Linked DNA regions of Drosophila melanogaster. Changing the gene in region 2 together with the main gene of any one other region gives a genetic interaction. Each region holds a gene or a part of one and is shown on either strand. Other genes may lie near its edges.

The links. Genes that interact genetically often act in the same process or in processes that back each other up.
Region 1: of Cln3 (region 2) and flfl, changing one suppresses a phenotype caused by changing the other (phenotypic suppression), as found in Drosophila melanogaster (one study listed by BioGRID).

The regions. Positions count from the first base shown.
Region 1 is NT_033777.3:13,682,157-13,686,962, reverse strand, and holds the start of flfl (falafel), read right to left. Parts: upstream 3,043-4,806; 5' UTR 2,813-3,042; intron 2,539-2,812; 5' UTR 2,439-2,538; intron 1-2,438. Other genes in the region: omd (oocyte maintenance defects), read left to right, coding at 3,830-3,936, 4,001-4,776. UniProt on the Drosophila melanogaster protein: Regulatory subunit of serine/threonine-protein phosphatase 4. The probable PP4 complex Pp4-19C-PPP4R2r-flfl (PPP4C-PPP4R2-PPP4R3) is required to prevent caspase induced cell death (in vitro). May be involved in DNA damage repair.
Region 2 is NT_037436.4:17,808,728-17,816,084, reverse strand, and holds Cln3 (Cln3), read left to right. Parts: upstream 1-1,965; 5' UTR 1,966-2,025; intron 2,026-3,193; exon of another isoform or gene 3,194-3,289; intron 3,290-5,085; 5' UTR 5,086-5,095; coding exon 5,096-5,299; intron 5,300-5,371; coding exon 5,372-5,502; intron 5,503-5,590; coding exon 5,591-5,749; intron 5,750-5,808; coding exon 5,809-6,148; intron 6,149-6,205; coding exon 6,206-6,640; 3' UTR 6,641-6,854; downstream 6,855-7,357. Other genes in the region: Ir75a (ionotropic receptor 75a), read left to right, coding at 1-100, 198-423; CG32191 (uncharacterized protein), read left to right, coding at 7,338-7,357.

The sequences.
Region 1 (4,806 bases), on a different chromosome or scaffold from region 2:
AGAAAAGAAATGTGCCCGGTCTGTTTACAAACATTTAGCGTTTTCCATTAGATCTAGGCCTTCCGCAGTGCGCGCGTGTATCTGTAAATGTATCCGTATCTGTGCGATGGGGTTTTCGGTATGAGTAGGTTTACTATACATATAGTATACACTATATCTGAGCCACTATTATCGCTGCGCTTTCGCCCCACGGCGAGAGCAAACACGCGCGCGAAGAAAACAAACAGCGGCGAGGGCCAGAGAGCGGGTGACTCAAAACGAGGAAGGGGAGTAATCTAACCATTCTCGTACACAGAAAAAAAGTGTAAATAAACACATATCATACCCATATTTTCATTTATACACAGTTAACAATCAGTCCACTATTTCGTTATCTGCACGGCGAAAATCAATGGAGAAGTGTGTGAAATAATGTGCGAGTAAACAGAAGTGGCAAAAGCTACGTCATCGTTGAAGAGCGCCACCTCAATGTTGACTGTCCACCACAAATATTTACGTCACTCTAGATCACCCAACCGCTCACCACCCACCGCCCGCAGTGCCACTCGCCCAAGGTTGCAAGACGTCGGGGAAAATGCGTGCTGCGCTGTTTCGAAGCGATTTGCACAGCGATTAAGTTCCCACTTCCATGGTAATTCCAATAAAGCGCCATAGGCCACTGATAACGCCCGCAGGAGAATTGAAGCCCAGGCGGAGAGCCTGAGTATCTCAATCTCAATCTCAATCTGTAACTGAATCGGATTCCAAGTCTGAATCGGTACCAAAACAAAAGTAGCAATTCAAAACAAACGTAGCGAGCGGTTTCGTTTACGCAATCAGCTGCGAAAAACACGAGAATGCTCATGTGTACATAAGTGTGTCCAAGTGCCGCACAGCGCCACAGATTTCGTTTATTATTAATTTTTATTAATAACCAGCGGCCGCAGAAGGTTGCGAAAAGTGCCGAGAGAAAATCTGTGTGCGAAATATAGAGCTCTGGAGTCGAGTCATCAATAAAGTCCGGCAAATATGACAACTTGGCAGTATTTTTTCGCCCCAGCAACAATTAGTTTTTATAGGGAAGTTAGTAAGAGATACAGTTGTGAACAAGTCGGTGGCCTTTTTGACTCTATTTCGCTACTACCTAGTTAATAACACGTGTGCAAATCGTATTATGAATCACTAGACCTCTTTTATTCAAGGCATTTTCGTTTGGTTTGTAGATTACAGTCTTAGTATGTTGTAATTAAATTCGTAGTAGAATTAAGTTTAGGTTATAGTAGACAAAAATACAAACTAAGATAGGAATTATGCCTATCAACAAGTTTACATCTGATTAGGGAACTTAAGGTACTTGGGTACAGTATTAAAACTATGAATAAAATTTAGGAAGGTAGCAGGAAATTAATAAATATTGTTAAGACTTTAAATACCACCGGTAATTGTGTGAATACAAATAATACAACTATGCTCCATCATTTCAACCGCAACTGTAAATGGATAATTGGAGTCTCGCTGCTCTCTTCCTGTTCTTCGCACACATACACACGCATGGGCGCGAACGCTGCAAGTGTCCGTGTGAAGAAGGAGAAGGCGAAGAGGTGGGAATCCAAAAGCTAAGGATGCAGGACTTCATTAGGAAGTGGTTCGCATATCCCTTTCGTTATCTTCTTACTTTCGCCCCCAGCAATGAAACGCCATGAATTGGGGGAGACGGAATCTAACGATTGCGAACGCGTCGTATCTTGTTTTTTGCATGCATGACAATGTGTGCAGAATACGCGCGCGCTCACACACTAAACCACTCGCACAACCGAAGGCGTGTGTGCATGTATGCAATTTTTTGGGGTGGTATTGGCGGTGAAGGCAGGAGGGATGAAGGGAAAGAGACGGGCGGAGAACTCGAAAATTTAGCAAGTAAACACTCTCCGATTGCGATTACAAAGTCAGCTAATTTCCTTTCATTTTTTATTATAAATTTTTGATTCCGTTTTTTTGTTGATGCCCAACAGTTGATGTATTTTCATACGCGATACACACACAACGCGCTACAGACACTTGGACGCACACAGACACAACGTCTGGCAAGTACATCGCTTTTTGGGCCGTCTCTTTTGCGGTTCATTCAATAAAATTATTGCGAATGGCAGGCGCAAAACAGAATCGCAAAAATTGCAGTGTATTGTGGGAAAGAAGAAGAGGCGTGTGGTAAAGAAAAATGCCGTCTCTCCACCACACACATTACACATGCACGCAATTTTGATCGCTACACGCGCCACCCACACTCTGCAATGTTTTTGTTGTTGTTGCAAGCCGATTTTGTTTTGATTCGATACTTTATTTATGTATACATAATATTTAGGAGCAGCGCATTTCCGCGATATTCGCTGGCGATTTTGCATTTCATTGAAACGCACACAAAACGCAGGGAAAAGAAAAACAGACGACGGCTAACTCACCTCGAACACACGCACACCTACAAACCACACACAGCGGAGAGCGAGGAAATTCAACACGACGGTATGCGTTGTTGCATAAAGTGCGATAAAAGGGGAGACACTGAAAGAAGCAAATCAGCCGAGTTGTATTCAAAATCGGGATCCAATATGGGCTATTGCCGGGATATATAGTCCGATTCCCTGGCAAGGCCGCAAATCATCCACGGAGTACGTGAGAACACACCGTCGGTCACATTCACAGTAAAATTCAAACACACACACACTAGCACGCAGACAACACAGAAGCCGCAAGAGGGCAAAAGAGAGCGGGAGAGAGAGAGCAGCAAAGAGAGAGAAAGAGCGCGGGGGCAAAAACCAAAAAGTTATACACTCACGCTGCAATTCCTTGTTTCTGTTTCTGGCGTTTTTCGCTTTTAGTGCTTAGCACGCTGGCTGCATTCGATCAGTTTATATACAATTTTCTCTTGCGCATATTTATTGGGGGATCACGAGTTAGTTTTCGACCAATATATCTTCCCGGATAATTGTAATTTTCGCTATTTTCCGCGGACCGACGCTAGAGCGTTGGTCTGACCACGACGATAATATCTGCGTATCGATACTCGGCCAGAGAGTACAGCGATAGTTGCATATGACGAGAATGTGAGCTGTTATCGATATCGAACTCTAGCACCCCTGTGACGCCACCATTGTTATGGTACTCTATTAACATATACTTGGCAAAACTGGAGCACCTTGAATGAATATTTGTACAAATCAGAGCAGAAAAAAGCAAACAGCACGACAAACTGCGAGACAGATTCGCCGCTTCGACGCCATGTTGTCTTTCGCTCTTGATTCGCCCCAAAAGAGTGTGCAATAATGCACGAACTGGGTTTTGGTGTTACCGTTTTTCGCACTCCCTACTGTTACGATAATATTTTAAAACAAAAACACGTTAAATATTATAAAATTAGAAAATAGAGCTATAAGTACGTTTACTTAGTATTAAAAAGAGCAAACAGTTTGATTACTCAGTAATTACATCCTCGATTCGAAAGTTAGCATTGTAGTAAACACATAATTCCGATTAGAAATCTTTTCCAGCTTAATTTAACTTGAATGTAAAGTGTCATCTTAAACTAATCTCAGGTGCTAGTTTATAATGAATGTAATGACACGTTAGAGTGCTAAGATATTTATTATTCTGTTAATTTTATGATTTTCAGATATTAAAGAATTTCGAATTTTCTGCCGCCTTAGTGTGGCCAGGTGGCGGCGGATTCCAAATGCCTGCAGTTGTGCCCCGTCGTTTTGGTATTCCGAGTGAAAGACGCAGCGACCCGCTGCTGCGATGCATTTGCTCACTTGGCCAACTTCGGTGCTGCGTTCCCGATGCCTAGGACGACAAAATGCTGCGCCAGAACCTGTTGGATCAGCTTAAGCACTTCATAGAGACGGTGAGCAATGGGCACAGTTGTCCGCAGCTGCTGACCAGCCCCAATCTCATCAAGCTCGCGTGAGTAGCAACCGCGGTGGTTAATAATGATGCCCGTAGTAAATAATTCCATGGATATTTGCAGACTGGGATTCCTGGAGGAGCTGCCCGCCACGCGAGACATTGTGTTCGAATACTTCGCCCTGCTGGCCGAAATCAGTGTGCAGCTGTATGTGTCGCCGGAGATGGCCGACCCAAAGACCGGTATGCCGGTATCCCAGGTGAAGCTGGCCGGGAATCGCCAGCAGCAGCAACGTGCTCCGGAATACGAGGCTTTCAATCTGGTAAAGACCGCGCTGCAGAGTCTGGTGTGGAAGGGACCGCCCGCCTGGTCGCCGCTCATCGCCAACTGGAGTCTGGAACTAGTGGCCAAGCTGTCCGATAAGTACACCCAGCGGCGGATGACCATCACGGCCAGCTGCAACTATTGGCTGGAGTGCAGCGCCATGCACGGGCTGATGACCCTTATAAATAGTTGTTTCCGAAAGTTAACCCAACCGGAGGAGGAGGCCTGCGTGGAGATCATGCTCAATGCCTTTCACCGGTTTCCCATGACCTTCGACTGGATTGTGGCGAGATTGGGCGGCTGTTTCCCTTACAAGATCATCATGCAGATTCTACAGTGCGGCATCAAGCGATTCGTCGATGACTACCGCTGCCACCTGGATTCGGAGGCGGGCATCCTCGATTATATGACCTCGTGCCACGAACAGCACCTTAGGGCAGCCTTTCGTGAGATGCTTAGGGAGGGATTCGCACCGAAGAAGCCGCTGGACGTGGCCGTTGTTCCTTTCCTGCTGATCACCACCAACTACTCGGACACGATCCTGCAGAGCTTGGTCAATGTGCTAGTCGAAATCTGTAAGTACTGGTTGAATAAAGAGATATATT
Region 2 (7,357 bases):
AAGAGATTTGCGATTTGAACGAAGTTCTATTTCGACCCGAGCAGCTATTCTACACGCACTTACATCGCAACTCCACGTACAAGGAGCTCTTCAGACTTCGGTAAGCCCTTATGCTACTCTTCCAAAAGCAAGTATAACTAAATTTTATGCTATTCAAAAACATCTTAAATGTATTAAAATCGTATGTATTATTTTAGATTCCTTAGGATCCTGGAAACTGGTGTCTACCGGAAGCAGCGCAGCTACTGGGTGCACATGAAGCTGCACTGCGTGGCCCAGAACTTCGTCATCACCGTGGGAATGGAGTACGTGGCTCCTCTGCTCCTCATGCTGATCTGCGCCGACATCCTGGTCGTGGTAATCCTGCTGGTGGAACTGGCCTGGAAGCGCTTTTTCACGCGTCATCTCACCTTTCACCCGTAGTGCTTTAAAATCGCTTTAAGCTGCTGTAACAACTATATTCTATTTGCACCCAGGAGAAAATAAAAACACTTTGCGTTAACTTTTCGCATCGCAAAATTATGCAGGGCGACGCTTTCCTCACTTCCTGTTTTCGCGCCGGAAAATTGCAGCACGGCTCGTTAAACGGAGGGATGGATAAAGGGGTTTGCAAAGGACGTGGTGGCCATGTTTCCATGCGATTTTCGTATTTGCATTAAAAACTTTTCGTGTTTGGCGGTTACTTTTTATACTCCATTTTCCCTTTTGGCAATGATTTTATTCATTCTCTTGGAGCCATTTTATTTGCATTTTCGTGCACGGCCACATTCGAATTGAAACTTTGTTCCCCAATGCCACGTGCGAATGTTAGATAACTGATTGTGAGCCTAATACGGCCTATTAGAAACAGTTAACAGTTGTGTTTTTCGCATTTCCCCGAATTTCACCGGAATCAGTAGTTTCCCTACCGCAGACATCGCATGTTGCCCCGAGATGATTTATGGTATTTTAATGATGGCGCATCGCCAGAGGCGACAAATATGGGAAGGGACGTGTCAAAGCTTTATCGAAATTGATTGTACAATAAATAAGAGTGAGTTGAGTTCGCACAAATATTATTAAATTGGGTGTAGGAGCAAATAAATGGTATTATATGGCTGCTAATCAAATACGCAGTAAATTATATATTTTTTCAAGATTTTACATTTGCCTAAGTCAAGCAAATAGTATTAAGAACTTCGTTCTTAAATGACTCCCAGTCGACCATTAAAATGCAACTGACACAACTGCTTGCCAAACAGCACTCACTGGCATTCCGGAATTCCCAAAGTATTACTATAACAAATTGCCTTAACAATTTGTCAACTCAATCTGGCTGTCAACAGGGCATCGCTTTGGCCATAGTTTATGCCATGAAAGGACTACTTTCCCTTCGCAGGGAGGACAACTTTGGAGTGACTCGAAATTGACAAGCAATTGTGAATTATTTATTATTTACAACATCGAACACGGGTGTCCCTTTTTATCCCTAGCAGCCTTAACCACTTTATTTTGCAATTTGTCAACAACATGTTCTCTTTTTTAAATGCAATGTATAGCCCTGTGGCAAGTAAAAAGTGTTCCATGCTTTGCGGCTGCGGTGTGAAATTGGTTTTGGCGGTTTCCGTACGTGCTAAATGAGCGCGAAACGGATTTAATTTAAACGGAGCTATTGTGGATGGGAAAACGATACCCGAGAAATTTATTATGACCAAACTCTTGGCCGGTACGATTATTAGACTTAAGTGTACGGGAAAAGATAAAAAGGGGGAAGCGGGCTTATGGCCATCACCTCATCAGTTTGATTACCCTTTCTGTTCCCCAGAGCCTGTCATATACGAATTGCCATTGCCAGTGATATCTTAAGATTTATATGGCCCAATGCTGCGAACGTCTTATCTGTAATTTAATCTGCTGGCCACTTAACGATAATGATAATGTCGATTGCAACTGGTCCGGCTGTAATCTAGGCCCGTATTCGACGAGTCCTCAGTAGATTTTCATTGCTCGAGCGGATTGAGTGGCAGCCGGAAATAATTCGAAAGTGTACGTACGGCTGGTGTTTGGTATTCACTCGGGGGAGTAATGTTTATTGCATTTTACGCCGGATTTATGGCCGTAGAAAGTATCTCAGGGTTCCGTTTCAAATGAAATTGTTATAAAATTAGCCAGCATTTCCAGTTGAACGGGTAAATGTGATTTGCATAGCCGAACCGTTTGTCATCGAGTTAAATGACCTCCGTTTGGTTTACTGTGTAACTTTAAAAAAAAAAAAACAAGTGAATTTATCGATACTACTTTTTAAAATCTTTCTACTAGAAAACAGGTGTTTTTGAGCTTAGGAGCACTTTTCGGATTACGCATACGCCACGTGCGCCCGTTGAAAAACAATAAACTTAGAGGGAACGACCATTAGAGCTTACTTGATATTGGGCAGCACAAATTAAAGCTAACAGCGCTATCCGCAATTAAACTGCCTAACTTAAAGTTAAGCGTAATTAAAATAGCTATGACTTATTCAATAACAGGTGCTAATTACGAAAGCTAACACAAACACGAAGTTTGAAATACCCTCCAAAATACAGTTGCTAACTTGATCGTTTTCAATACATTAATCAAGAGCTAGCACATGCGTTCAAAAGTATTGGAAAATCTTTAAGAACCCTTCGTAGTGACACAATATCTTCATAATCTAATCTATACCAGTTCGACTATCGGATTGCTTGGGATCTTTGAATGCCAAAGACCGCTAGCCGATAAGCATTTCCCACCATAAAGAATCACAAGGTTCGCAGATTTTCCCCCATCGAGAAATTCGAACATCTTATCGCTATCTTCGCACTCTTGAGAAGAAGGGGTATTCTAAACCCAATGCGAATGCACTTGCCAACTCGAAAAACGTGACGTTCGCTGACCGACCTCAACTCCCCCGCTTTTGCCGCTCGAATCAAATCGAATCAAATCGAATTGAATTGAATTAAATGATACTATATATGTAATCTGTAATGTGTGCTACCTGCTAGCGATCTACGTACGATCAACCTGCTGATCGGCACTTTGGCACTTGCTGCATCTTTTAATTGTTTTAGTTTTTATGCTGCCGCTGGCAACTCGCGTGATACCTCATACTTGGGCTCCCAGCCGCTTGGCTCCATTGTAGTCGCCGCTTGTTATTGGTTCTCGTTCCGTTGGGAGGGTTCGCACAGGTTCAGTCACTCACCGATCGCCTCGAAGCGCGAATCGTCGTCGCCGTCGTATCCAACAGTTCTCGGAACCTTAGAACTACCAAGCCGAAAAATAGTGGCAAGATGTACGGTTGTACTTTATAGTGAACAAGAGCAGTTGAAGAACCCATTAGTGCTATGAAAAGTTATAAAGTGCAATAGAAAGTTAACTCTATGTAAACATTTTTACATTTGTTGTAAATTCAACCTTTTACATATTATATTACATAAAATGCGAAATTAAATATCAAAGGCTTAAAATTTCTTATGGAAAAAAAATTATTTTATCTATTAATTTACTGATTAAAAAGTTATATTTGAAAACGAAAATCCCTTTAAGCACTCTATGCTTCAGAATTTTTTTTTCAAGATATATGCAAGATCTAGCATTCTCAATTTACCAGTGATATTTCGAAATAAATTTTGAGTATCGGGTATCATATTTTTTGATAGCAAGCAAAAGTAACTGGATAGGAAAGTGCACTGCGAATTGGGTCAACAACTTCATAACTGCGCAAATGGATCAAGTGAATCTCTTGAATGAGTCAGTGGCCAACGAAGTGCAGGACGGCTAAAAAGCATTTGCCTGGTCTCTGAATTAATTAAATTAGTTAATTTGTTATAATTATTTTACAGTTAGCGTGCCTTTTCTTTGTTGGCTAACAGGGCTCGTGCTAACTGTTGATTACATTATTTGAATTGGTTTGGCTTGTTGCAAGGTTAACTTAAATGATCTGGATAATTAAAAGCTGCCAGTCAAGGGCGCTAATGAGAATTGGGAATATATGCATTGAACGGTCTAGATTATATTATCCCATCTGTTGTCCCCATTTCCTCTTCGATCTATTATCAGTCACAAGTTCTGTCGGATGTAAACAAATCAATTCATCTGCACTTTGCACCACCGAAAACATTGCCAAAAAACTGTGATATATATACGTACATCTATATATCCGGTAAAATCGCACATATGTAGTTTATTTCCCGCTACAGCTGAATGTTATCTAAAATCTTATTTATTTAAAACCTCCAAACATTGCAAATTAGCTAGTTATATAGCATAGTTAAATGCCTGAGAAATGTGTAAAGTAATAGTAATAGGCTACTTTATTACAAATTCAAATAGTAAAATAGGAAATACGTGTGCACCTCCCGTGAAAATATCCCGCAAGGCACTTAGCTATATAAATATGAGTCTTTTAACCCGTCAAACCCTGAGTCTGAACTAAACAGCTGTCTTTTCCTACCTTCAACACAATTTGTATATTTTTAAGCATTTATTGCACGTACTTTCCATATATTTTAGCGACTTCCCCTAGTGACCATATTATGTCAAGTTCAAGACTGCTTACGCACATGCTCGGCTTGGGAAATTAAACAATTTATTTAAATTCGACTCGAGCAGTAGTATTTGCTCAGCTTAGAAGAGTGAATAGCAGTTTCTTTTAAGAGTATAAATAGCTCATAGCTGGGAAAGAGAATTCAATTAATAGTTGGCCCATTCAAAGTAAATTAAGTAAGGTGATCATGAACTAAGGGTACGGCGCTGATTTGTTTCTTGGAACAAATAAATGTTGAACTAAAGCTACTAAAAGAAACTGTTATTATAAAAACGTGATATTGATTTCGTTGCCGTTTTGAAGTCTTAAAACCACCTTCGTTCACGCTTGACCAATTAAACAATTTGCGTAAATGCTAAAGCTTTTAAAAAGAGCAACATTAATTTTTTTAGAGACAAATAAGTTGTTGATTTCTTAGGAGAAACTAGATGAGTTTAGATTAGAGATAGTAAATGGTAAAAAAAGTTATGAAGTGAATCAAATAAATTTGTTGGATTTGCACTAAAAATATTAAACAAAAGGGTTTTTTAATTTTTGTTTAGCCGGCTCAATATGACGGCAACCAAGCAGCAAGAGGCTGAGGCCGAACATGATCCCCAAGTGGTGGTCACCCCTGGAGACGCCTCTCGCAGCTCTCGCCAAGATCGGGGTCTATGGCGGGATCTTACTTCCTACTGGATCCTCGGTCTGTGCAACAACTACGGATACGTGGTGATGCTGAGTGCTGCGCACGATATTATCAAGCAGTTTAATCCGGTAATTACAATAGGATTATAGCACTTTTAATACATTTATTAATTGTTCGCCTGCATAATTTTTTCTTTTTAGAATGATGAATCGGAAGAAAGCTCGTCGGGAAGAAACTGTCACTTGGTTTCAACAGGTGCCATCTTGCTGGCAGACGTGCTGCCCTCATTATTTGTCAAGATTCTAATGCCATTCTTTCCATTTTGGGTGAAGTGAGTACTATCTACAATATTAAATAAATTTGATTTGATGCATTAAACTTGATATGATACTAACACAAAATCGCATTTTATTTATTAGTTTCCGTATAGCTCTTGCCGTGGCCTTTTCTGCAGCTGGTTTCCTCCTGGTTGGATTCGCCAATGCCGAATGGATGGCTCTTTTGGGTGTCATCATCACTTCGGCTAGCAGCGGAATAGGAGAAACCACTTTCTTGGCCTATTCTTCGCGATACAATAAGTGAGTTGTCTGGTAAAAGTACTAAACAAAATATCATTAATTCCATATGTTTTTCTTAGGAATGTGATCTCCACTTGGTCGTCCGGAACTGGTGGCGCTGGAGTTATCGGATCCTTGAGCTATGCTAGCTTGAGATCCTTAGACTTCAGTCCCAGAGATACTATGCTGATTATGCTGATCTTCCCTGCGATCGAGGCCTTTGCATTCTGGTTGCTGCTTCGTCGTCCACAAGTTGATATATTGCCGGTTACCACGGTTGAGTCCACGGAAGTCCTGATCAGCGATGAGAAGCCATTAGTTGGGTTCAAGGAAAAGCTCTTCTATATCAAGCACCTCTTCAAATATATGTTGCCCCTTTGCCTGGTTTACTTCTTCGAATACTTCATCAATCAAGGATTGGTAATTTAGCTTTCTTTAATTCATACAAAAAAACATTCATTGTCATCCATTTTTCAGTTCGAACTGGTTTACTTTGAAGATATATTCCTGGACAAGGACTCGCAGTACCGCTGGCTAAATGTGGACTATCAGATCGGAGTCTTTATCTCGCGCTCCTCTGTCAATCTCTTCCAGCTGGACAAGATCTGGCTGATGTCCATCTTCCAGTTCGTCAACGTGGTATACTTCCTCACCGAGGTTATCTGGTGGTACACGCCTAGCATCTGGATCGTGTTCGCCATCGTCCTGTGGGAGGGACTTCTGGGCGGCGGTGCTTACGTGAACACCTTCTATCGGATGTCCAAGGAGATTTCGCCGGAGCGCCAGCAGTTCGCCATGGCCATGGTGGTACAGTCGGACTCCTATGGCATTGCTCTGGCCGGATTTCTGGCCATTCCCGTGCACAACGCCATCTGTGGTCTTCCGGCCGCGGCCAGAAGCCTTGTTTGGTGATACGGATCGAGGATCAGAATCAGGATCAGATTATGCCTTTACTGTGTGCGTGTTTAGCCAAATAAGCGTGTGTGTCTGTGCATGTCCCTATAGTATTAATCACTGGATCACTGGACATCCGGTAACCAGATAGATCGTTGTATAGTTAGTATGCTGCTGTTAGACTACTCTATAAGTTTAGTTTAATAAAAAAAAAAAATAAACACTACACTGTACATTCGATTTCATTTAATTTCAACGTACCCAGATGCAAGCACTTTTCCGAAAATGTTTTCCTTGGCAAAGTTTGGCTTTTTCGGCACAAAGTGCTCACGGCTAACCACTTTGATAAGCACACTGATCCCAGACAGAATGCGCCCCACTTGCTCTGAGTTTATTCAACTGTCTCCAACAAAAAGCCTCTTAAATTGTACGTATTTACACTACCTACACATTATAATTACTTAGATGGAGCTGCTCGGTTATTAAATAAACTTGTTGCTTGTGGCTTCTAATTCGGTTTGATCGGTTTCAAATCGAACGCCAAACGATCGGTTTGGCAGTGAGATGCCGGCTGAGACAGATTGGGAGATCGAGACCCAAACCGATTTGGGGCGAGATGTTACGTGGACCGCTCGCCGTTTCAGTTGATCGGTAGCTGCCGTGCAAGGCAGTCGAATATTACGCGATTGTCTAATACGTAAGTTGAGTAACCAAGATGCGGGGCTTATCAGCGTT